Linked DNA regions of Rhinolophus ferrumequinum. The protein of the gene in region 2 interacts with the protein of the main gene of each other region in a pairwise test. Links are inferred from orthologs where the notes say so. Each region holds a gene or a part of one and is shown on either strand. Other genes may lie near its edges.

Region 1 (11,838 bases), on a different chromosome or scaffold from region 2:
GTCAGTAGAGCTCTAGCAGCTGGAAGCTGTTTCTACTATCAGAAATGAAAATGACTGAAACATCTGAATTCCAAGGACAGAGTAAAAGAGGGCCAAAAGCATGTCTAACTTGGTACTAGGAAGCCTTGACTGCTATGTGGGAATGACCACTGGCATCTGGGTCACCACTGGGGACTGGGTGTGTGAGTGACTCAGATCCTCCCATCAAGCTCTGGAGGGGGCAACCCCAGGAAGGGCCTGCGGTGGTCTTCGAAAAGAAAAACTCCTTTTCTTGGGTTGATGACAAATGACATTTCTCTGAAATCAGGACTCCGGGGTTTCTTTCACTTCCTGCCCAAAGGGTCAAGGTCCTCGGAAATTTCCCCTCTTTTCACACTTTAGCACTTAAACCGGGGGAAAGGATGAGGTCTGACAAACTCAAATTTCTTTTTCTGTTTCTTATTCCATTATCCCTCATCCTGTGGCAAATTTTCATTAATTCAACAAGTGATAAATCACTTATGATATGTGCCTGGCATATCATATATGCCCAATAAGTAACGAAGATAAACAAGTCAGGCATTGGTAGGCTGCTCTGGCGACAGGACATAGTCTGGTTCCCCCCAGGCTTCTTGTTTAGATCGTGGTCCCCTCCTAGACTCAAATATTATGTCTCTAAACCCATGTTTTTTTCTTTGGCTCCAGAACCCCCAAATGTTCAGCCTTCTAGTCTCTCTCTCTTCAGACCCAGCATGCCTTCCCTTTACCTTTCATTCTAGCTTGGGTGCAGGCAGATGTTACCCCTTCCTAGGTCAGACAGGGTGTGCCAATGGGTGGGGCTGGTGGAGGGGCAATAATAGGGTGGGGAGAGGGGAAGATGAGTCAGAGTGAAAGGGAAAATGCAAATGAGCAAGTTGTATTCATTTGCTACTCTGAAATGTTTTCCATTTCTTAGCGTTCTAACTCCTCACACCACCACACCCAGGGACGCATTAGACACGCATATAAAAGTCACTTGGCCTGGACACATAAAAGCACCAATCCCTGATATGTATACAGAGGGAAACATCCTCCAACACAGTAATACACAATCCCTGAAGATATGGAATATGTGGGGAAAGCCACGAGGGAGACATCCCCAAGTGTAGAGGGAAAGGTACAGGGGTCTGGAATATGACATCACCATCTAGTGGAGTGTAGTCCCCCTTACCGCCCAGCCCTATATCATGTTTCTGTGACTCAGCGCCCCCACAGGTGTGATTTGCTCATTGATGACCAAGAGAGTTGCAGACTGTGCTCAAAGGGCAGCATCTTCTGTAAGCCAAATGTAGTTGACAGGAAGTGTCAATGGGCTTTTAGGAAATCTAAAAGGGATCGAAAGGAGCAAGGGGACTCCCCATTCAGTGAACAAAAGCCCCCAAGAATGGGAAACCCCATCTTGCCTCCCACTTGGTGTTTACCTCACCTAAGGATATCCCTTTAGAGGTCGCCTCCTTAGAGGTATCTCTAGGGCCCTCTACACCTCAGCCTTTAGGTTGGTGACTCTCTAGGCTCTTCTCTCTCCCTGCGTTCTTGACTGCACAGCCCAAGTCATCTGCTTGCTCTGAGTGAGCACTGACAGCCGATGCAAATAGCTCTTTGATTTGGAAGGACAGGGGCATCGCTGTTTCTATTCTTGAAAGGTCTGCCCTCGCCAGTCTCAGAAACCTTGTCCACCTTCCACTTCCCAGGCTGACTCAGTACAGGCAGAGCCAGAAAACTGCAGGTTATGAGGATGCAAGCCAGCATCTTGGGAGAGGGTAGAGTGCATAGGAGAAATTAGATAGGACATCATTGGAAGAGAAATATGTGGGAAAAGGAGGTATGACTTTTGCCTCTCAGTCCTTTATAATACTAAATAAATTTGAAATCTGGTAATTTTTATTCTTACTGATAAGCTTGACCAAGAGCCCCTACAGACACAACCCAGCTTGATATGAAAATATCAACACAGCAATACAAGTATGGATTCTCTTCAAGTATAATTAAAATTAAACCATCAGAATAGGCCAATTAGAGGAATGGTTATTTGTTTTATGAAAAATATTCTCCCTTTATCTCACTTATTTTAACTATTGAGTATCTCCAAAGTCAAGTTAAGCAAGACTCAATTTAGAAAAATTCTATGAACTTTTCACTCTTCCCAGGAACACCTCTCTTTATGCAAATTAAGGTGGTTAACCCCCCACACACACTCACACACACATAGCATTTTCTAAAGAATAAGACCCGTTATCCAAATCATACATAAACTTTCAAATGTTCACTCTTTCTGGTTAAGTATAATACATCCAAAACATACCAGAGAAGAGACATCACAGAGGGAATTCATTTCCTTCTTCATTTAAATCTATGTTCTGCATAACCCAAAACCAGATACAGCGAGATGAGCTGAATCTGGTCATAGAGACCCCATCATAACACACCTTTTGTGGAGTAAGTGGAAAAATAACGACTAGAAGTCGAAAAACTTAGGTTTCACTACATCCTCACAGTGAAGGGCCTTTTTCTTCAGCCCTAATATGGGGCTAACTCTTCCTCAACTTCCTCACAGGGCCTGTTTTCAAGACAAGTACTGAATACCAGTACTGCCTTAAACCCAGGAAGAGGGCCTGACTCTGACATCCTCTGGCTGTGTCCCTTCCCGTGGGCTGAGGAGTGCAAGGTCATCTAGGAAGTACCCACCTGGAACCTGAGCCGCCCAATTGCAGACCATGCTCTGGGAACTCAGAACTCTGGACCTCCCAGCCCAAATGGCCCACTTCCAGGATCTACATGGTCCTCAACCCCAGATCTATATTCATGACAGTGGGCTGTGGGACTCATGTAACAGCCTAGGCCCTGACTGTGTGTTAGGGGCATGGAAACAGGTTGGACATGCCAGCTAATATGTGAGATACTTTGAAGTGTGCATCAACACCAGGGGTGGGAAGAAAAAGGTGAATCTCCATTTCTAGTCATGCCCAGGCCCCATAAATAATATGGGAGCCTGCTTTATTTCAATACTTCTTAACATCTTAGGGGGTCACCATTCCTTTGAAAATGTAAGCCATGGAATTAACTCCTTACATCGGAAAATTGTAGACTTTTATGACATTTTGCATATGAATGACAGGGGATTCACAGACTGCTCTGAAGCCCGTTATTGAACAGGTCAAATACTCCTGGATTGTCCTTTGACTGCTTTTGCCCCGTACTCCCCAAATCCAACATGCATGAAATTTTATGATTTCCAAGAGTTCACAGACCTTTGAAATCCACTTGTAGACCACCCTTTTGCATTCCCCACTCTTGGTTTAAGAACTCCAAGTATACATGAAAGCACTCTGAAAGCTTTAATAACACGTAGAGCGGGAAAGGCTGAGTGAATATAGATTTCAACACCCTGCCCCGTAAGTATAAAAAGATCTTTGGTAAAGACAACATGGGTGGTTTCCTTAACAGTAGGATATCTCACACATCTCTTCCTGTGCTCAGGTATGATATCCATCTTACTCATGCACCTGCCCCCTGCTTATAGCCTGATGTCTTCTGAGAGTGACCAGAAAGGGTGTGGGAAAGAGGTGAGGACAGGAACTGAAAGGCCCCAGACATGACCCAATCCTGGTTCTATCTAGAGCCACCACAAGGCAATAATACTTCATGGAAGGCAAACAACTTGGCTGGGGTTTGGAGACTCCCCACGCCCTAGAATCTTCAGAAGACCACGAGACTAACCTTCGGGCCACATGGTACAACCTGGACCCAATACTGGAAAATCTGCCAAGAGCACCTCAACTCAGAGTCCAAAGACCCCTAAAAGCCTTGCAGCCTCATGTTCCCAGCACAGCCTGGATGCAATGACCCTTGACAACTTCTCTTTGGGCTTTTGACCTCATCAGTGCTCACTCTCAGCCCAGGTTGCATTCAAAGATGCCAGAAACCTCTCAAATGCCCACTAGTTTAATCTCTTGGCCAGTAATTCCCAATAACCTCTGAAGAATCACAAGTCTCTCCTTCCAGTCGCCAGATCTAGGCTTAGTCCAGAGATCCCAGACAACCTCTCACAGTTCAGAGGCCATACCTCATTGCCAATGACCCCACGCAGGGCTCCAAGGGCTTCCAACTGCCCTACAACACACTTCCAACTCAGGCTGGCTTAGGGACCATGTACCAACTCATAGGACATGCTGGCCAGGCCTCTGCCCAGCCTGGGCCCAAAGTTGTTCAGGAGGCCCCATTTCCAGCCTTTCCAGGGCAGAGAGAGTTCCCAAGGGTCTAAAGCTCTCAGCCCTCATTTCCCAACCCTCACAGCCACCAGTCAAGCCCCCCATACCCCAGCTTTGCTTGGGCCAGGCCCAAGCCTGAAGAAGAGTAAGAAAAACCACGGCACTCACCAACTCAGACCGTGTTCCTCTCCCCACTCAGCCTCACATACACTAAGGGCGGCACAAGCCCAAGTGGCGGTTAGAAAATGGGGAGCGGCGCTAGGCCAGGAACGCGATGCCCAGGCGCGTGCACAGCTCGCTTTTCGCGCCTGGATCCCAAGGCAGATACCGATTGGCTGCGGCGCTGGCGGCACACTCTTTCCTGGCTCCTGCCTGGTGAGCGTGCTCAACTGACTGAGAGGCACCTAGGACAGCTCCACTGCCTCGCGCCCACCGATGATTGGTTGAGGAACTCGCGCCTGCCCTTGTGCTGTGGCGGGGCAGGGCCTTGAGTCTGATTGGTCTGTGGACTGATGCTGGAGGCCTCTAACTGACACCTCGTACTCCAACCTAACTCCAATGCTGATTGGCTGCGCAGTTTGCCTTCTCTCACCCTTTCTATGATGAGACTGAGACTCGAACCTCCTCCACCTGAATAGCCTTGGAGGCTCCCCCGACAAGAGCTCAGGGATACCACCAATTTCTTGCCTTTGAGTAGCTCTCGTTGCAAACCCTTTCACCTTTCTCTCAACCCCTTACATATCTGTGGAGATGTGCGTGATTAGCTGAAAGGCCCTCAAGAGCCACCAGGCTTCATGTGCCTCAGGGCAGCTCGCCTTTCTCACCTCCTGCCCTGCCCCACCACTGATTGGTTGCAGAACGCACCCTGCCTTACCCGGAAGTATTCGGGGACAGGAAAGACGCAAGAGGGGGCAGTGCCTTGACCCAGGAATGGTCCAGATATTCGCGCTTCAAATGCTCATTGACACCTCGACTGTCAGTTGAGCCAGGATCAACTGAGTACTTCGTGTACCAGACCCCCACTACGCTGTATAGAAAATGGCCTATTGCGCTGCCCCGCCATTAGTTGGCCTGGGCTTAGATCCCGGCCAGCAGGCTTTTTGCCTAGGCAGGAATTTGGGCTGACACACCGCGAGCTCGCACCGCGCGAATCTACGAGGGCCACCTGCCTCTCCTCCCACCAGCCCGACTGCGGTTGCACCGCTGATTGGCTGGCCCCACTCTTCTCAGCAGCTTAGCCTTGTGTTCGCGCTTGGACGTATCCAATGAGGAGCAATGGCGCTTTAAGAAGGCGGGCATAGCGTAACCGCTTCCACTTCTGATTGGTCCCGAGGCTTGCAGCTTCGCTTTTAATTGATCAGAGGGCCGGGAGGCGGGAGCCCAACCCAACGGTTTCAAGCGGTTAGGGTTCTGTCCCTGCGCTTCTGTTCAGCTCCCGGGCTCTGCGGAGTGTTGTCTGTCTCTTCCTTCCTTGCGACTCGCTGAGGACCTATAGGTTGGGAGGCGAAGGTGGGGGTTGGCCCAGGAGAACCCTCTTGGAGAGGTCGTGACGCAGAGGAGCCTGGGACGAATAGATGGAGCTGAAACGGGAGGGAGACTGCCTAAGGCGAGTGTCCGGTCCGCGGGAGCAAACCCCTTAAAAAGTAGGGGAAAAACAGGCGCTGTAGCTGTAGCAACAGCAGCTTCCGCTTACTGAGCCCTTTCCGTGTACCACGCACGCTTTGTGCGTCATCTTATTGACTTTTGCTAAGTAACCCTGTGAGGGAGCTGATTACTATGCTGGGTTATCCTCAGAGGTCCGCGGCAAAGTCACTCGTCTCAGGTCCCGCGGTGAATATGGGCGTTGCTGGGACTCCGACCTTGTTCTGGTGAGTCCAGCATTCAAGGTAGCCTACAGTTAAGTAGGGTTGATCTTGTAGATGTGGGATGGTGTCTGATGTGGTCACGTTGGCCCTGGATTACTTCATCTACAAATGAGGGTTTTTGGGGGGTTTTTGATTTTTGTTTTGGACTTAAATCTGATCCTGAAGGCTCCAGCACTTAGCGCATATTTGCAGTTCCTCAGTTTGGCAAATGCATTTGCATTCTAGAAAAGGATATTTTAAAAATCACCTTCATGATGGGTATCTTTGCCACTTTTACCGAACCAGGCCAGTTTGAAGTGCTTTGCATGCATCATTTGATTGAATTCTCATAACAAGCTCTATGCGATACTTACTGTTTTTATTCTCACTTCACAGATAAGCAAATTGAAACTGAAAGAAGATAATTGATTTCCCTAAGATTTCACCAGAAATAATTGCAAGAGCAGATTTGAACTAGGCCTGTTGCAGTCTGACTCCAGAATCTAAGCTCCTAACCATTGGGTACACTGTCTCCCATCCTAACAGCTACAGTGTCCACAGAGTCTGCACACATGGTCCTAGGGAATCCTCAGCTGCCCTAGGAAGAGGAATAATGACAAAACCCATTAGAACAGACAACCAAGGTGCATGGAGCTGAAGACACTCAGTCACATAGCTAGTCCTTGGCAGAGCAAGGAATAGAATAATATATAACCTTCTAATTCAAACCCACATTCTTAATTACTCCCCACACTGCTCCTTTCCTATTTAACAGATGAAGAAAGTGAGACCCTAGGAGAAATCAAAGCTGGAATTCAGACCCAGGTCTATCAGACCCAAGAGATTATCCCTTGAACTAGACTGCCGCTAGGAAGTACTTGTCTAGTAGATCCTGGGTTGGATCCGGTGAGGGGTTCTCTCACCCAGCCAGCCTTGTCTGTAAACAATGAATTCATCTGGTCCTAACGTTGGCCTTAAAGGTGGTTGCGAGTGTATTTCACAGCCTCAGGACCATTGGAGGCTTCTCATTGAGAAGCCCTAGTCATAATTGCTGCCATTTATGGAACACTTTTTATGGGCGAGGCAAGGTGGAAAGCATTCTGCGTCATCTATGCATCATCTCACTGAATCTCTGTAATAATTCTAGGACATAGGTATTGTTATTGTCCCCATTTTACACATGAGGAAACTGAGACCCAGGGAGGGATGGAATATTCCTTTGTGTACAGAGCTAGTAAATGGTGGAAACTGGATGGGAACCCAGAGAGCCTTACTCTAGAGCCCTGAAATCCAGCTACCCAGCATGTGCAGGCATGAGAAGATGGAGTAAGGGACCCTGAGCTCTGGCAAGGTGGAGTAGGAAGGGTTGTTGGCTTCATTCTGGGGGTTGGATTAGGAGAATCAAATGTCTGAGAAGACTAGAGAAATAACTATAACTTACTGAGCAACTACCCCGTGCCAGACCCTATGTTAACTAAGTTTTAATATACATCAAGTAGCAGAGATCCTTGTGGCTAAGAAGCTGGACACTGGATCTAAATTGCCTGGGTTCATATCCTGGCCCTGCTATTTACTAGTTGTGAGACCTTTGGCAAGTTACTTAATCTCTCTTGGCCTCAATTTTCTCATCTGTAAAATGGGGATAATGATAGTAAATCCCTGTCAGGACTGTTGAGAGGGTTAAATAAATTAATAGAACAGTAGAACCCGGATGGGAACCCAGAATGCGTTACTCTTCTCTTCCCCAAAGCCCTAAAACTGAGTTGCTTCCTCAGAGTCACCATCACCTGCCTTGACTCTCATGTAGGCACTGAAAATTAGGCTAGATATTTGCCGTGGGACAAGTGTGCTCCCAAAAGAGGTATAGCAAGTGCAAAGGCCCTGAGACAGAAGTGAGGAACATGTTTGAGGAACAGCAAGAAGTCTGGCTGGAGCCAAGCAGATGACTAAGGTTCAGGAGCTCACCTCAACTGCACAAGTGTTCATAACAGACATAAAAATGATCCTATAACTTTTCAGAGCATAAAGGACTTTCTCCAAGCTTTGATCTCTGGATAAACCCAAGGCCATGATTACTTTTGAGGCTCATAAAACTTAGAACTCAGGGCTTATTGCTCTGCATTCAGGGTTCATGTGTAAGAGTCAGGAGACTTGCATTTACTCAAATATTTATTAAACTTTGTCAGCATATGCCATCTGTGCTGAGCCCTGGAGAAGACTAGCCCCTTTGAAATCTTTAAATTCAAAGATTTAACCTTCTAGAAAGAAATTATATCCTTCCAGAACCAAGTGTAAAGTATAGCAACTGAAACCCAGAAAGGACACTTAAGGCGGGGCGAGGAAGGGAAAAGGGTAAGAGAAGACTTTCTCTATTTTTGGAGTACTTACTATGTGCTACACATGTTCCTTGGTACAGAGTATATAATGGCAAACAAGAAGAGACCATTAGTCCACTGTGGCTGACAGAACAAAACACTGCTGACGGGGTGATTTTAACAACAGAAATTACTTTCTCACAGTTCTGGAGACTGGAAGTCCAAGATGAAAGTGCTGGTGGGGTCGATTTCTCCTGAGGCCCCTCTCCTTGGCTTGCAGATGGCTGCCTTCTCACCGTGTCCTCACATGGCCTTTCCTCTGCGCATGCAGCTCCTGGTGTCTCTTGTTCTTTTTATAGAGTGCTACATACTGAATGTTTGTTCCTGCCTCCAAAAACATCCATATGTTGAGATCCTCCAATGTGATGTGTGGGGGTGTGATCCTCCACACCCCCAATGTGATGGTATTAGGAGATAGGACCTTTGGGTGGTGATTAGGTCACAAGGGTGGAGCCCTCATGAATGGGATTAGTGCCCTTAGAAAAGAAGCCCCAGACAACTCCCTTACCCCTTATACCATGCGATGTTACAGAGAGAAGACAGCCATCGATGAACCAGAAAGCAGGCCCTCACCAGATCCCATATCTGCTAGAGCCTTGATCTTGGATTTCTCAGCCTTCAGCACTGTGTGCAATAAATTTCTGTTGTTCATAAGACACCAAGTCTATGGTGGTCTATTATGGCAGGCCAAACAGACTAAGACATGAGGACACCAGTCTTCCTGGATTAGGACCCTACCCTTATGACTTCATTCAACTTTAATTTCTTCCTTAATGGCCCTGTCTCCAGATACAGTCACATTGAAGGTTAGAACTTCAATATATTAATGGGGGGGGCACAATTCAGTCCATAACAGTGAAAATCTACCATTGAGGGGCTCACAGTCTGTTGGGGAGACGCATATCATTTACTTCAGAGGGAGAGAGCAGAGCAGAATGGTTAAGATGTCAGATCTGACAGGGTTTAGGTCATACCTGTACCACTGACCAACTGTGTGACTCTGAGCAACTTTCTTTAACTTTCTGTGCCTTGAGAGAATCAAATGAGCAGTCACCCACGAAGTTCTTAGAAAAGCCCCAGCACAGTGATCATTAAATGTTGGCTATTGTTATTAATTGCAAGTAAAATTAAAACTGCACTAAGTAGTATGAAGAAAAACCACAAGATAGATACTTTAAGAAAGTAAAACAGGACTCTGACCTAGCCAGGGTTTTCAAGGACGATTTCCTGAAAGCAGTGATGCTTACACTTCAGCTCTGAAGGATTAATACTCACTAACCAGACTAGGGATTGGAGAGCCTTCCGGGTAGTAGAAAAGCAGGTCCTAGAGCTCTAGGGCAGGAGGAAGCATGGCCTGGAGTTTCAATGTCAATGGAACAGACAGAGCAAAACAAGTGGAAGCAGGGCAGAGCTGCTGGTGGTTGGCAGGACCTGGCTTATAGGCCATGCTCAGGACTGCTGGCATTCTCCTCTGAGCCATGCAAAGTCACAGAAAGAAGTGTTTATTTTTTTTTTTTACAGAGAACAGTTTAATGAACCTCTATGTACCTATCATCTAGTTGCTTCAGTTCTCAACATTCTGCCTGATTTCATCAATACTCCTTCATTTAAAAAAATTGTTTTTCTCCATAAACACATTCTACTTAATGAAAGCTATTAGGGCAAAAATCTCTTAAGAAGGGGAAACATAATAAAGGTACTTTATTATTAGGCTATAATACGATCAATAGATACAATGTTTGGACTTGCAGTTTGATCTGTTGTATATTAACTTTGTGTCCTGAAATCTTGCTATAATTGCTTATTAGTTCCAGGAGTTTTTTCTTTTTATTGATTCTTTTGGATTTTCTACATGGACAATTATGTCATCTATAAAAAAGAGTTTTATTCCTTCCTTCTCTATCGGTATACCTTTAATTTCCTTTTCTTCCCTTATTGCATTAGCTAGGACTTCCAGAATGGTGTTGAAAAGAAGTGGTGAGATGGGTCATCCTTGGCAATTTGATCTTAGGTGTTCTTTTGGTATAGCAAGAAGAACTTGAACACTAGGGACATTCCTTTAATTATGTGTCCAACAGTACTGAAGTAGAACTCCAAAAACAGAATTTTCTTAACCTTTTACCTTTTCTACTTTATTTCTTTCCATTCCAGTGCCCATGGCAACTGAGAAGACATCTAAGAGGCATCTAAGCAATTCTTCATGTCTTTAATGTCTCCTACTTGGTTTTTTTTTTTCTTTTTTTCTTTATTTTATTTTTTAATTTATTGGGGTTACACTTGTTAGTAAAATTACATAGATTTCAGGTGTGCAATTCTGTATCACATCATCCATAAATCATACTGTGTGTTCACCACCCAGAGTCAGCTCCCCTTCCATCACCATACATTTGATCCCCCTCACCCTCATCCCCCACCCCCCAACCCCCTTACCCTCTGGTAACCACCAAATTACGTTCCCCAGATTAATTTTCAAACCCATGGCCATTTTGTGGTCACCAACTGCCCTCCAATCCCCTCCCCCTCCCCCCCTCCTACTTGGTTTTTGAAACATGAATTTACTTAAAGCACTGTTCCCTTAATCTTCTGTGATTCTTGACATTTGGAAAAAGGCACCTATTCTTAGGACAGCTCTTTGGTGACCGGAGGAAAGGCTCAAAGTCCAGGCTGTTGTTAGCACCAACTGCTTCCCATCTGGCTTTGTCCTGGGAACTGCAGGCCACATGAGGAGATCACAACTATGGAACACTCTCAAATAGGAGCATTTAACTACTTCTGCTGGGGACTGCTGGTGTCTTTTTACCATCCTGGATCCCCTGTGGTAGATGATTTGTTAAAATGGCCTCCATAATTCTCCCTTTTGCACACCTCATACACTGACCCTGGCCCTAGCCATTGACTTGTTTTGACCAATGGGACAATAGCAAATGTGACAAAAGCAGAGACTTAAAAATTGCTTGTACACTTTGGGACTTGTCCTCTCTTACTGCTCTTGGGAACCCGGCAAACACCAGCATGTGAATAAGCTTGGGTAGGCTCCCTGTAGACACATGGCCCAATCAAAGCCAACACCCCAGCCACCTACACTAACTGCCAGCCAGCCATACATGTGAAGGAGCACCCTAGATCAACTGGCCCCCAGCCACCCCTCTGCAGCAGTGTGAGTAAGCCCAGGTGAGAGTAACAGAAGAACTGCCCAGCTCAGCTGAGCCCAAATGGTTCCACAGAATAAGGAGCTAAAAAATATTGTAAGCCATTATTTTGGTGTTAACAAAAGCTAGCTGAGATACCCTGGGCCAGAGGAGTTTCTGGGCAATAAATATCACTTGCCTTGACTTTGGATATAGATCTTGAAAGTTGAAAAATTCCTTCAGTTTCCAGACTTGTTTCCTTAAT
Region 2 (11,389 bases):
TGGGCACAGGCAAAGACATTCCCCTCCCCACCCCTAAGAATGATCCCCTCCAGTCCTCTTACTTCAGTTAAGTTTGTTGAAGGATTTTGCTCAACAATTGTTAACTGGCCCTGAGACCTCAAAGTCTTAAGCAAATAGGTGAAGGCTGGGGTGGTAGGGTGCGACCCTGAACTGTTCCTCTGCCCACTGCTGGACCCGACTGCCCTCTGCTCCTCACCTGCTGACCAGTTCCACCAGATAGGAGCAGCACTGCCCTACTCTCCAGGCCCAGGGCCTCCCCCAGGGCCCAGTGCATCCTCGTCTCTTCCTGGAGGTCTCTGCTTGGGACTGAGCATGCGGGCTGTCAGCATCGGGATGCTCTGCCTTGAGCCCTCACCCGGGCTCCCCATCAGAGGGAGGCCTCAGGCTGAGCTCCTCGGTGAGGACTGGGGGGCAGGGGCAGGCGCAGGCTGGAACCAGACCTGTCTCTCACTGCCTCTGCCTCTGCCCAAGGCCCACCCTCTGGGCCTGGCCCACTCTCACTTGGTGCCTGTGAGCACAGAGGGCAGGGGCTGAGGCTGAGGCTGAGGCTGCAGCCATGACTTTGGCTGGAGGAAGCTCAGTGACTCCTGCCCTTTCCTCCCAAAGGGAAGTTTCTCTTAAACTGAGACCCCCCCAGGAAGAAAATAGTCTTGGTGTGTGTGTGAAGTATGGTGGCCCAGCATTTGCTATCAGCCCCATCCTTACCACAATTTTTTTTGACTGAGTCTCCTGAAGCAGCAGATGTCTCCTTTCAAGGAGGTATCCAAGTGCTGCAGAACACCAAGGAGTGCCCGTCCACACACTACCATTCATATGGCTCCCTTATGCCCACAGGACAGCGTGCCACCCAGCTTGTTGGGTACAGACAGGACATGGGAGCATGCGCACACATCCACAGACTGCATACCCACACAGGTGTGCTGTGTACACAGCGACACACATACTGCACCCATACGAGGGAGTGCTGAGGACAGTCACATATGTACACACAGCCAGGACTCTGGATCCCGGGACACTGGTGATGTTTGGCACAAAATCTGGCTGGTAGGGCATAGGAGATGTGTTCTAAGCCCGCCAAGTGTCAGGCCAGGGACTCTGGGTCCCAGGACACTGGGTCCCAGGACATGGAATGAATGGTACGCCTGTGGGCACCCAGAGGCTGAGGATCACAGCTCTTCACTCCTCAGAGGCTCTAAAGGGTCAGGACTTCCATGGACGGGGACTCTTTTATGACTCTGCAGGTCTAGCTATTCAGTCTGAGGGGCTTGCATCCCTCATCATTGATCCATTTGATGCAGTGATTGAGCACCTGCTGTGTTCCCCTCTGGCCCCAAGCCTCTGATAATGACCCAGGCAGTCACAATACTCCCTATATTTGGAAGTCTTGATGCCTGCTGTGTGGATGGAAAGGCCCTCAGGCTATTGTAGGTGAAGCTCCATATCTCCAGGGGCCCTGAGCCCTAGAGAGGGGCTGACACTATTGGGAACTTCCCTGGGGAGTCTGTTCTGCTGGACAGGTAGTGCGGAATGGGGTGGGGGCACGGCGAGGAAGTGATGGATAAAAAGGAGGCCCTGGCCTGATCCTGGGTGTTGGCTGGAGAAGGGACCAGGGCACTCTCTCTCTGCTTCCCCAGCCACACCCTCCACTGGCCACCATCCCAGGTAGTGTAGGGGCTTCTTGCACTCTCACAGATAAGTCACACCAACACACAGAACAGGAGGCAGCTCTCTTTCAGGAGTAAATGTAGGGGTCCAGTATTCCCCTGGCTTTGCTGTGTGACCTTGGGCAAGGTTTGACCTGCACTGTGCCTCAGTTCCCCTGTCTCACATGGGACACAGCAATCCCTGCCTTCTGCTTCAGCCTCCAGCCCGCTTGACGATGGGACATGTGGAGAGGAGGGAAGGGGGCTTACTGGGGCTGGAACCATGTGCCCCAGTCTCCGTGGCTCCAGGCCACACAGAGTTAGCGATGATTTTGTGACTCTCAGGAAATTTGGGGCTTAGAGTCCCGGCTGGGCTGATCAGAGAGGAGCCTGGGCTGTAGTGGGGGTTGAAGCGTCACCACAGGGACCCTTCCTGAGGCTGGTCTCACTCAAAACAGACTCTGTGTCCAAGAATGCTTTCGTCATTTTATTTGGGAAGGGTGGTTGGAGGGTCCTCATGGAGGGCATCCTTCCACCCACTCATGAGGGTACTCCGCCCTAATCTCTGCGCCAGAATCAAGGGATTTTAGGAAAAGGGAAGGAATGTGCCATGGCTTGCCCCCCACCCCCCACGCCCGCTGGGGCCATCCGTGACTCTGGGACATTCCAGCCCTAAGCCTCTTAGGCCGTGGGGAACTTCAAACTAGAAAACCCAGTTTTGGGAGTGCAGACGGGACCACCTACTGCCTTCCGCCTGGTTTTAAGACCCCCTCCCCAATAAAAAAGCTTTTGTTTCTTTGAATAGAAGCAATTACTGGGTGAGGGGAAAAGAGGTACTCAGGTAGAGGCTGGGAACAATCTTACTGGATTCTTTAGGCTTCAGAGGACCCCGGCCTGAAACTTCCTGTCAGTTGGGGTTCCCCAGCCTGTCCTGGTGGGGAAAGAGCTGAGAAGTATTCAGCCAGGTTGGCTAAATGGGGCGGAGATGGGAGCACGGAACTCAGAACGCTCAGTCAGCAGCTGGTAAGGGCCCATCGCTCTCTGGGCTCACAGCTCACCCCAGTCCAGTGGTCGCTATCTGGTTCCCCAAAACAGCTGAGCTGATAGGAAGAGAAGGCTAGGGAAGTGGCAGGGGCTGTCACACACCTGGGGAGCAGAGGGTCAGCTTTTGCTACCACGGTCTCCTCTTCCCAGCAGCCGCTTTCCTGAGAGGAAGGCACTCTGAGCCTGGCTTGAAGGTCAGCAAATACCACCTCTGTGTCCTAGAATCCAGGTAGCCTGGTCTCCATGTCCCCGTCCACCTTTTTAACTTTTCTGAGTAGAGATGAGGAGTCCCAAAGCAGTGAGGGAAGGGCAGGGGCCAGCAAGTCCCCTCCTGTGCTGCCCCTGCTGCCTGTAGCTTTTGCCATCACCCCAGACCTGTGTCCTTGACCAAGTGGACAGCAACCTGGAGTTGCCTTCCCTCTGGCCCTGGTGGCTGTCAGAGACCACTGGGAATGCCAAGAGAATACCCGAGCCTTAGTTTCTCAGAAAAGTGGACACAGATAGTTTAGATTAAGGGAATCCCTAAATCGGAAAACCTCGGAACAAGGATTCCAGCCTGGGATCCCCATTTCTGCGATGCCGCCCACGGGGCCCTTGCTTTAGCGCGGCCCAAATCGCTCAGATTCAGAAGGCTGCTCAATTTCAGAATTCCGGACCCGGGTCTAGAGAAGCGGCTGCGTGCTTAGGCTCCCTGTGTCAACCACTGCGCCCTGAAGAAGCCGCGGGGATGTCTTTATTGGATTTGCGAAGAGCATTTGGGGTTTCTCTTAGGGTAAGGAAAAGCCCGACCCTTGCCGGCGAGGCAGGCCGCCGGGGGTTGGGGCGCCTCCAGCACTGCGGTGGGACGTCGGGATCCTCGGCGAAGAGCGCCGGGACTGCGGCCCACGTCTGAGGCTTTTCTGCGGCATAGCTGCCGGAACGAACGAGCGAACGAATGAAGCGGTTTCGTTTAGGAAAAATACCCTCTTGACACGAAGCTAAGGCCGAAGTCCCTCGGCGTGCAGAGGGGCCAACGCTTCCGTTCGTGTTGGGGCCCCTTTCCCGGGCGCAACGGGGAGCGGCGGGTGGCCCTGTCACCGGCCCTTTCTCCCGGAGGTACCCTGCGGCCCGCGCCGCCACGAGGGGCTGTGAAAGACATGCAAGGCTATGCCCTTCGCAGGGCTGGGGCCCGCGCCCCTGAGCCTGCTGCCCTTTTGGGTTACCCGGAGCTGAAGCGTAGGGTGTGCCCACCGGTTAGGTGAGGTAGCGCCCGGTGATGGCAGCTGTGACCGTGCGCTTGGCGTAGGAGCGAGCTCCTCGCGCTGCCTCGATGGACCCTGGCCTTCCGCGCGATGTGCTTAGTCCCGCTCCACTGGCTGGTCCCTACATACTCGCGGAGTAAACAGCACAGAACTCGGCCACCACCTCCCTGCGCCCCAACACTGCGGAGACCCGGCGCCCCTAGCCCAACAACTCTTACCCGACCCGGGCTGCGCTGCGTGTGCGGCTCGTCGGCTCCGGGCTCGCTCGCCACGGACTCCGGCTTAGGTTTCGACTTCGGCCGGGTCCCGGATCCAGCTGCGTCCCCGGCTGTGCGCGCAGCTTTGGTCCCCGCTGGTTCGCTACATCCCAGTGAGCAAGGTCCGGGCTGCCTCGGCAGGGCCCGCTCCTCCTGCCGCCGCCACCCGTCGCCTGCGGGGAAGGCGGGGACACGGGCCTGGGAGGCGGGAAGGGGGGAGGGGAAGCGAGGCTCTTGCCTGGACCAGCGGGGAGGGGGCGGCGCGCAGTCCGGCTGGCTAGGGGTCCGGGCCTCCCTCGAGGCGCAGGCAGGGGTCGTCGGCGTGGCTGATGGCCGGGGCCCGAGGACGGCGAACGCAGCACAGGACAGCGTTCATGGAGGAGGGGCCCGGCCGCATGCGGACGAAGCCACGGCGAGTCCTGGCCAGGCCCCGCGTACTTTCTCTCCCTTGGGCTCAGTTTCCCACCTGGCACGTGAGGGGCCGAGCCCGACCAACGTTTAGTCCGGGTCTGGTCGGAGTTTCCCAGGGTCCTGCCAGGTGACGGTCAAGCCGGGTTTTGCGATTCGACCTTTTCCCCTTTCTGCGGGAGGGAGCTGGTCTTGCAAGTTGGCAGGGAGAGTCCTCGGAGCAGAGCTTGGCTGCCAAGGAGGTTTGAGGACAGACCCCAGGGTTTGTGTGTGTGTGTGTGTGTGTGTGTGTGTGTGTGTGTGTGTGTGTGTGTGTGACTGGGGAGGGGCAACTGGCCGACCTGCCCTGCTAGGAGGATTGCCCCCCTCCCACATCCTCCTCTCAGGGGTTGGGCTGACGAGGAAAGGGGAGACCGACCCCACAAGGACAGACGCTTCTGTAACCCCTCGTCCAGCCCCTCTCCACACCCTCCAGCGGTCGCCCTGCTGGCAGGCCCTCACACTGGAGAGGATGCAATCCATGTGGCCCCGTTGTCCTGTCCCTGGCTGGTGGCCATTGGGAGTTGGGCAGGAATGAGGGGGACTGGGTGCTCTCCAGGCCACCAGGTTCTCCAGGACTGCCTATGACCGGATAACCCGGCGGGAAGCCTTGTGGGGGAAGCAAGCGGTGGAACAGGCTCCTGCTTCCCCCAAGTGCCCAGTGTGAGCCTGGGCCCTGGGACGGGACAGTGGGTCTGCTGGTCAGACTGTCAGGGGACGATGACCTTCAGGTTCAGGAGTGTGGGGCCTGCCCGCCGGAGGCTGCGGTGCTCCAGGGCGGCAGCTTTGGCTCAAGGTGCCGGGAGATGGCAGTGCGGCGGCCGGGCATCAATGTTTCATGAGGTGCCGTCATCGGTGGCGCCTCCTTGCCTGGTTCTCACCAACAGCTGCTGTGAGAGGCCACGGCCCCCGCGCCTGCCCCAGTGCCCTGCTCACCCGCGCCTCCAGGGCCACCTGGCCCGGGAACAGGATGACCCAGGACCCCCTCCTGACAGCCAAAGCAGAAGCCTGCCTGACCCAAGCTCGGGAGGCTTTGGCGCTCAGATCGAGGGTTGGCCCCTGCACCCTGCCCTGCTGTTTGGGTAATCCACAGCGTCCCCTCAACTCTCAACAGTGGGAACACCTTTCCGGTGGGTGTGTGTGGCTTGGTGCACACAAGACTGGAAGGGTTAAGAGCTGAGTCCTTGGCTCCCGTGATTTCAGACCTGGTCCCGGGGTGGCAGAAACACAAGCTTGGAGCTTGCACTTCAGGAATTCTAGCCTCTGCTTCTCCTGCTGCTACGAGGGCTGTTTTATGTGAGGAACTGGTCTGTTGGCGGGTCTGGCCCAGAGCTGCTAAGCTGAGACTCTTCCGACCTTGTCTCAAGCAGCTTTCCCCTCCACACCCCAGGCTCCCGGGGCCTCTTCCGACATAATGCAACTGGACCCTTACTGTGTATGGAGGGCCCAGCAAGCATCAAGCTTTCACTCTGGCGCTTGTGTTAGGAAACTGTACCTTCTTACCCCTGCACACTGGTGATTTTCCTGGTTGTCTTCCCAGTGGTGACTGGGCATGTGTGTGTGATTCTTTGCGTGCTTTTGTTCCCAGGCAGAGCCTGTGGTGCCAAAAAGCTGCCTCTGAGACCTGATGGCCAGAGTTGGAATCTTGTTTCTGTCTTTTACTGGCTCTGTGGCCTTGGGCAAATCACATAAGCTCTCCCAGCCTCAGCTTCCCTATCTGTGAAATGGGAGAATAATAAGAGTTTCCACGGCATAGAGAAATCTATGAGATGATGGAGGTGAGGGGTGCGGACCTATGTGGGGGTGGGCAGCCAGGATGAATGTTCATGCTGGTAGCTGCCAGGTTGCTTTGCTCTTTAAAACAGTTTGCTCACAGTTTTGTTTCCTCCTTTCCCCAGGGTGGTCATGTTGGTTGAGTAAGGCAGCAGCAGCCCCCTTCTTTGATTTAATTGACAAACCCCTCATCCCCTGCTTAGCTACTAGCAAGTTTCAGACCAGGGAAGCTGGGCAAGCCGTTGGGGTGGGACCAGCACGTGATGGCCTGGAAATTCTTGGTGAACTGAGGTGGGTCAAAACACGTTTTTTATTACCTTATTTTCACTTCTTTGAAAAATAATTTTTCACAATTTCTCTTTAGGTTTCGCCATCTTGGCAAAGGAAGAGGGATCAGTCAGAGAGAGGAAGGTTGGAGCTGAAACCACCAGGAACAGAAGTAACACAGTCTGAATATCACTTTAGCTTCCAGGTATCCAATCAAAAAAGGGCAGCAAAATTGTCTGACACATTTGCTTTGTGTTTCCTTCCAAACTGACATGCTTCCTCTAATCAAAAGTTGTTCTCCCTAGTACGGAACTCTGAGATGAATTTGTCACGTGGGTCGTACTAAACATAATGGGCAAATGTCCTCAGCCATAGTTCCACGGACAGGCGTAACAATTCTTCGAGCTGTGTTTCTTATCTCAATATTCAGTGAAAATAGGGAGTGTGTCCTTTCCCTTCATCGCTCTTGTAGCCATGGTATTGAAATCAATATTTGTGTAATCATCGATGGAAACCTGTTATCCACCTACCACTTTGTAAGCTTGAGAGCAGAGCCGAGCCTCTCTTGCCACCCATAGGACACTCCCTGGGGGGGGGGGAGGGATTTGGTTTTGCTGACTGGTTAGGTGCAGCTCACATGCCCACTGCTGAACCAGTCACTTTTTGGGGAAGAGTGGCTCAGGACTGCGGATGACCAGGTTACGGTCACAAGCTCCACCCCAGAAGGGTGAAAAGGGAGCTCCACCATCTTAAGAAATACTTACCACACTCCCTGAGGAATACTGGTTGCTGTCCTGGAACAAGGTCTCTGAGCTGCTGGTGGCAGGGAATGGGTTGCTTTGCAAAGAAGTCCCTTCCCTGTGAAGGTTCTCTTCGGGCTGCTGATGGAGTTAGTAGGGCGTCCACTCCAATGTGATGGGGAGGCATTGGCTCTGTTGAGAGAGTCTGAAGTCCATCAGGATTGTTCCTGCGCTCATCTGTGGGAGGGTTGGAGGGCTACCGGAACGTCTGAGAGGTGGCTCAGAGTCTGTTGACTCACATACAGCGGTGAATCCACAGAGCGAGGGGGGCATCTATTTGTGTTCCCTTTGTCATCTGTGAGGAGCGAGTTAGAGACTCTAAAGTTAGAGAAGAATCCTTATGACCAGATAAGATATTAATTTATTTTAGCATTATTATATTGCACTCTGAGCTTCCTGGCAGCCAGAGCAAAAATAGAAACCATTTGGATATCTCAAGTAATTTTTTTCGTTGCAGACCTATCAGCATCTGCATGGACTAGTGGAAAGAGCCCTGGTTTGGGACCTTTCTGGATTGGCCTCTTTCAGGTCAGCAAAAGTTTAAAGAGCACATATTCTGTGCCTGAGATGGCAGAGATACAAAGACGGTTGGCTCCTGCTCATTTGGGTTGAGTCAAGGAGGCAGGCACACCAACCTATAAACGTATTTGGAGCACAGTGCTGGAGAGGAAATCCGAAGCCTGGTGTTGAAGGGCCCTGAGTGACATACAGGCCTTGAGTTTGTCTGGAACAGCTTTCCACCGCCACCAACCCCTCTGTGGGATAGCACTGGGACAGGTGGAAAGGCAGAGAATGGGGGAAGAAGAAGCTGGTGAATTGAGTGGGTAGCAGATACCACAGGGCTTCATAATCCTCGTTAGGAGGGTGGGATATTATCCTGAAGGCAAAGAGGAACCGATGAAGGGTTGAAACAGTGAGAGGTCTGGTCAGCTGTAGATTCTAGAACGGTCACTACCTGGATAGTGGAGGATGGACTTCAGGAGGTAAGAGAGGAACAGAGTATTGCAACGTCCTTCACTCAGCCACTCCATCCATCTTTTTCTTTGTTTATCAGTTCATCCATCCACCATGAGCACAGGAGGCCACAGGTCGGTGTGGGAAATACGAAAGTAAGACGTGTGGCCCCTGCCTTTCTAGACGTGCCCCTAAGAGGGCCTCGGTTTACCCTTCTGTAAGCCTGGTCTGTCTCTCCCATCCTCACAGGCTCTGCAGCCAGTGCCTTCCAGACGTCTGCTTGCTGCGTGGGGTGGGGGAGGGGAGGGGAGACAGGGAGCTCAGAGTCCAAAGGGGCACAGCCACTACCGCACACAGTTTGGGAGGCGGCGTGCCGAACAGCCTTGTCGGAAGCTTTTAAAATAATTACTCCTGCCTGCTCGGGCTGACCGGCTGACGGCAGCCTATTAGCCCTGAGTTGGAAATTCTGAATTGTTTCGTGACAATTGAAAACACGATTGGAGGCCAGGAGGGAGCTGCCCATGAAATATTGATGTTTCCTCGGAATGGGGCTGCTTCCGCTCAGCCAGGAATCCTGGATGCACAAGACTGGTGGCTGCAAAGTGACTACCGTTTGTTCTGGGGCTCCTCGGCCGACTGCCCTGTGGGGAGTGTGTTTTGTGCAGAGTCGTGAGGGTGGTTTGGGAACCTGCACCTCTAGTGCCTCACTCCAGGCTGGCCCCCCAGCTCCCCTGCACGCCAGCCCTACTCTCAGGGCCGAGCGCTGTAGAACTTGGGGACATGAGATGTTCTGTGTGCTCACGTTTGGCCCAGATTCTATTAAGCACTCATGGCTTGTCTGGAGCCAGACTGGGTGGGGATCCCAGCCCTGCCCCCTCACCACCGTGAGCCTCATTTTCTCAGCTGTTCAATGGGGGATGCCGAGAGTTCCTGCCGAGTAAAGCTGGGAGGTAGAGAGGTGCCCATAGTGTGTCGGACCCGGCCTCAGCCACGCCTCACGGGCTTATTAAGAGCAGTCCTCGGTAGGTCCTGGGTTAGCTCAGGGCCAGCTATGGGAGTTCCCACTGGGTCCCCAGGGTTTCGGGGTCCCTTCTCCTCTGCAGAGTGCTTTGAAGCACTTTGTGTTTTTCCCTTCTCTGTAAATCCTAAGTAAATATTAGTGCTGGGAAGGTGTGCTGGCCTGGCAGACGTACCTGCTGGGTGAGGAGCCCTGGGGTCTTGGTGAGGAAACCCACGTGGCCAGCACAGGCCTCTGGTCATTGAGGTGAGGCTCTGCCATGTCTAAGGAAACTGGTGGGTAGTGGCTGCCTGGCTGCTGCCCTGAGAACCTGCCCAGGGCAGCAGGAGAAGGACCCTGCTGTGGGAGCTCTGCCAGCCACAGTAAGTGTGGCTCACTGTTCTCATCTTGGAAGGTGGGATTTACTCATTTTTATAGATCAGGACAATGGAGGCTGTTCTTCATTTCTTCATCCACCAGGCAGTTTTTAAGCACCCACTCTGTGTGCTGGCACTGGGGAGTGTGTAGGGGGGGGGTGCTGGGGACTCAGGGATGATGGACAGTCCCAGGGCAATCCTTCCTGAGGGACTGAATCTAAAGATGATGCATCTTTAGGAGTGGGGCAGGTTTGGAGCTGTGGGAGACAGAACAGGGGCAGCAGGCCTAACCTGGGGGTCAGAGCAGGCTTCCTGGAGGAAGTGACCTTCCCCTGCACTGTGGGGATAGCAGGAGTTTGTCCTGGAGCTGGGATGGGGGCAGGGGAACAACAAAGCTAGTGAAGGGCAGGCTGAGTCTGGGTGTCCTTATTGCCTGAGGGAGAGGTACCTCTTGCCCGATGTCATGAGGAGCAGCCTGAAGAGGTACCGAGAAGGGCTTCACAGCTCCTATGTGCTGGCTTCCTTGCCCCTGGGTATCTCTAGGCTTTATTTTCTTCACTGGAGAAATGAGAACTTGGATCCCTTCTAGCAGCAGGGCACGTTTCTCAAATGGAACTTCACCAGGTCCTCTAACTAGACGGATGCACTGCTGCTCTGCTTGAGGGTATCGATGTGGGCTCTTCTGCCCGCCCCCTCACAGCCCCTTCTGTCCCTACAAGTACCCCGAGGAGCCCCAGGGCTCCCTGGCCACAGTTCGCAAGCTGCAGGGTAAGGAGCCTCTCCACGAGGGTCCGTGGCCGAGGTGTCCCCGTTCTACCCTGATGGAAAAACCCCCACGGACCTGCTGTTCCTTGCACCTTTTAAATTTCCTGGTAGCTGTTTGTGATTCAAGTCTGTAAGCACCTATTAAACACCTACTGGATGCTTGCAGAGTGGCTAAGGTTTTCTGAGCACCAGCTGTATGCCAGGTCTCTGCGGGGCTCTTTGTATCAGGTCATTTCCTCATCACAATCAGTTGTCAGCCCATTTAACAGATGAGGGAGAGAAGAGCTGGAAGAGGCTCAGGGACTTGCCCACGATCACAAATAATAGTAACGATAACACCAGCTCCCATGGATTAAGCACCGGGTGTGTTCCGGGCCTTGGCTAACGTCTTCCCCTGCGTTAGCTCGTGTAGTTCTCAGAGCAAACCTATAAAGTGGGCGTCATTTCCGTCCACAAGGATCCAAAAAGTGCAGGCTCAGAGGAGGAGGAGATCTGCCTGGACCCCTGGACCTGTGCCCACCTCGGCCTCTCCCCGTGTCCTGCCCTGTGTTGAGGGTCTGAGGCAGCTCCATGTGGAGGAACTCCCTCCCTTCTCTGTTCCCATTGTACATATAGGGAAACTGAGGCCCAGAGACTCACTGCTCTCAGAACATCTCTGCCCTCTGGGGTCCCCATCTGGCATAGGCTCTGTGGGGACAGAGCCCCAGAGAGCAGTTTCTAGGCTCTCGGCCTCACGTGGAAAGGTGCTGGCTCGGTTATCAGATGGCCATCCGCTGTGTCTGGGTGGCCGTCAGCTGTTACCG

The links.
Region 1: the proteins of PITX1 (region 2) and ZBTB32 interact in a two-hybrid assay, tested with the Homo sapiens proteins (2 studies listed by BioGRID). The link is inferred for Rhinolophus ferrumequinum from reciprocal best matches to the Homo sapiens genes PITX1 and ZBTB32.

What each region holds. Positions count from the first base shown.
Region 1 is NC_046298.1:36,075,028-36,086,865, reverse strand, and holds the start of ZBTB32 (zinc finger and BTB domain-containing protein 32), read right to left. Parts: upstream 4,533-11,838; 5' UTR 4,395-4,532; intron 1-4,394. UniProt on the Homo sapiens protein: DNA-binding protein that binds to the to a 5'-TGTACAGTGT-3' core sequence. May function as a transcriptional transactivator and transcriptional repressor. Probably exerts its repressor effect by preventing GATA3 from binding to DNA.
Region 2 is NC_046307.1:10,740,670-10,752,058, forward strand, and holds the start of PITX1 (pituitary homeobox 1), read right to left. Parts: upstream 4,554-11,389; 5' UTR 4,168-4,553; intron 1-4,167. UniProt on the Homo sapiens protein: Sequence-specific transcription factor that binds gene promoters and activates their transcription. May play a role in the development of anterior structures, and in particular, the brain and facies and in specifying the identity or structure of hindlimb.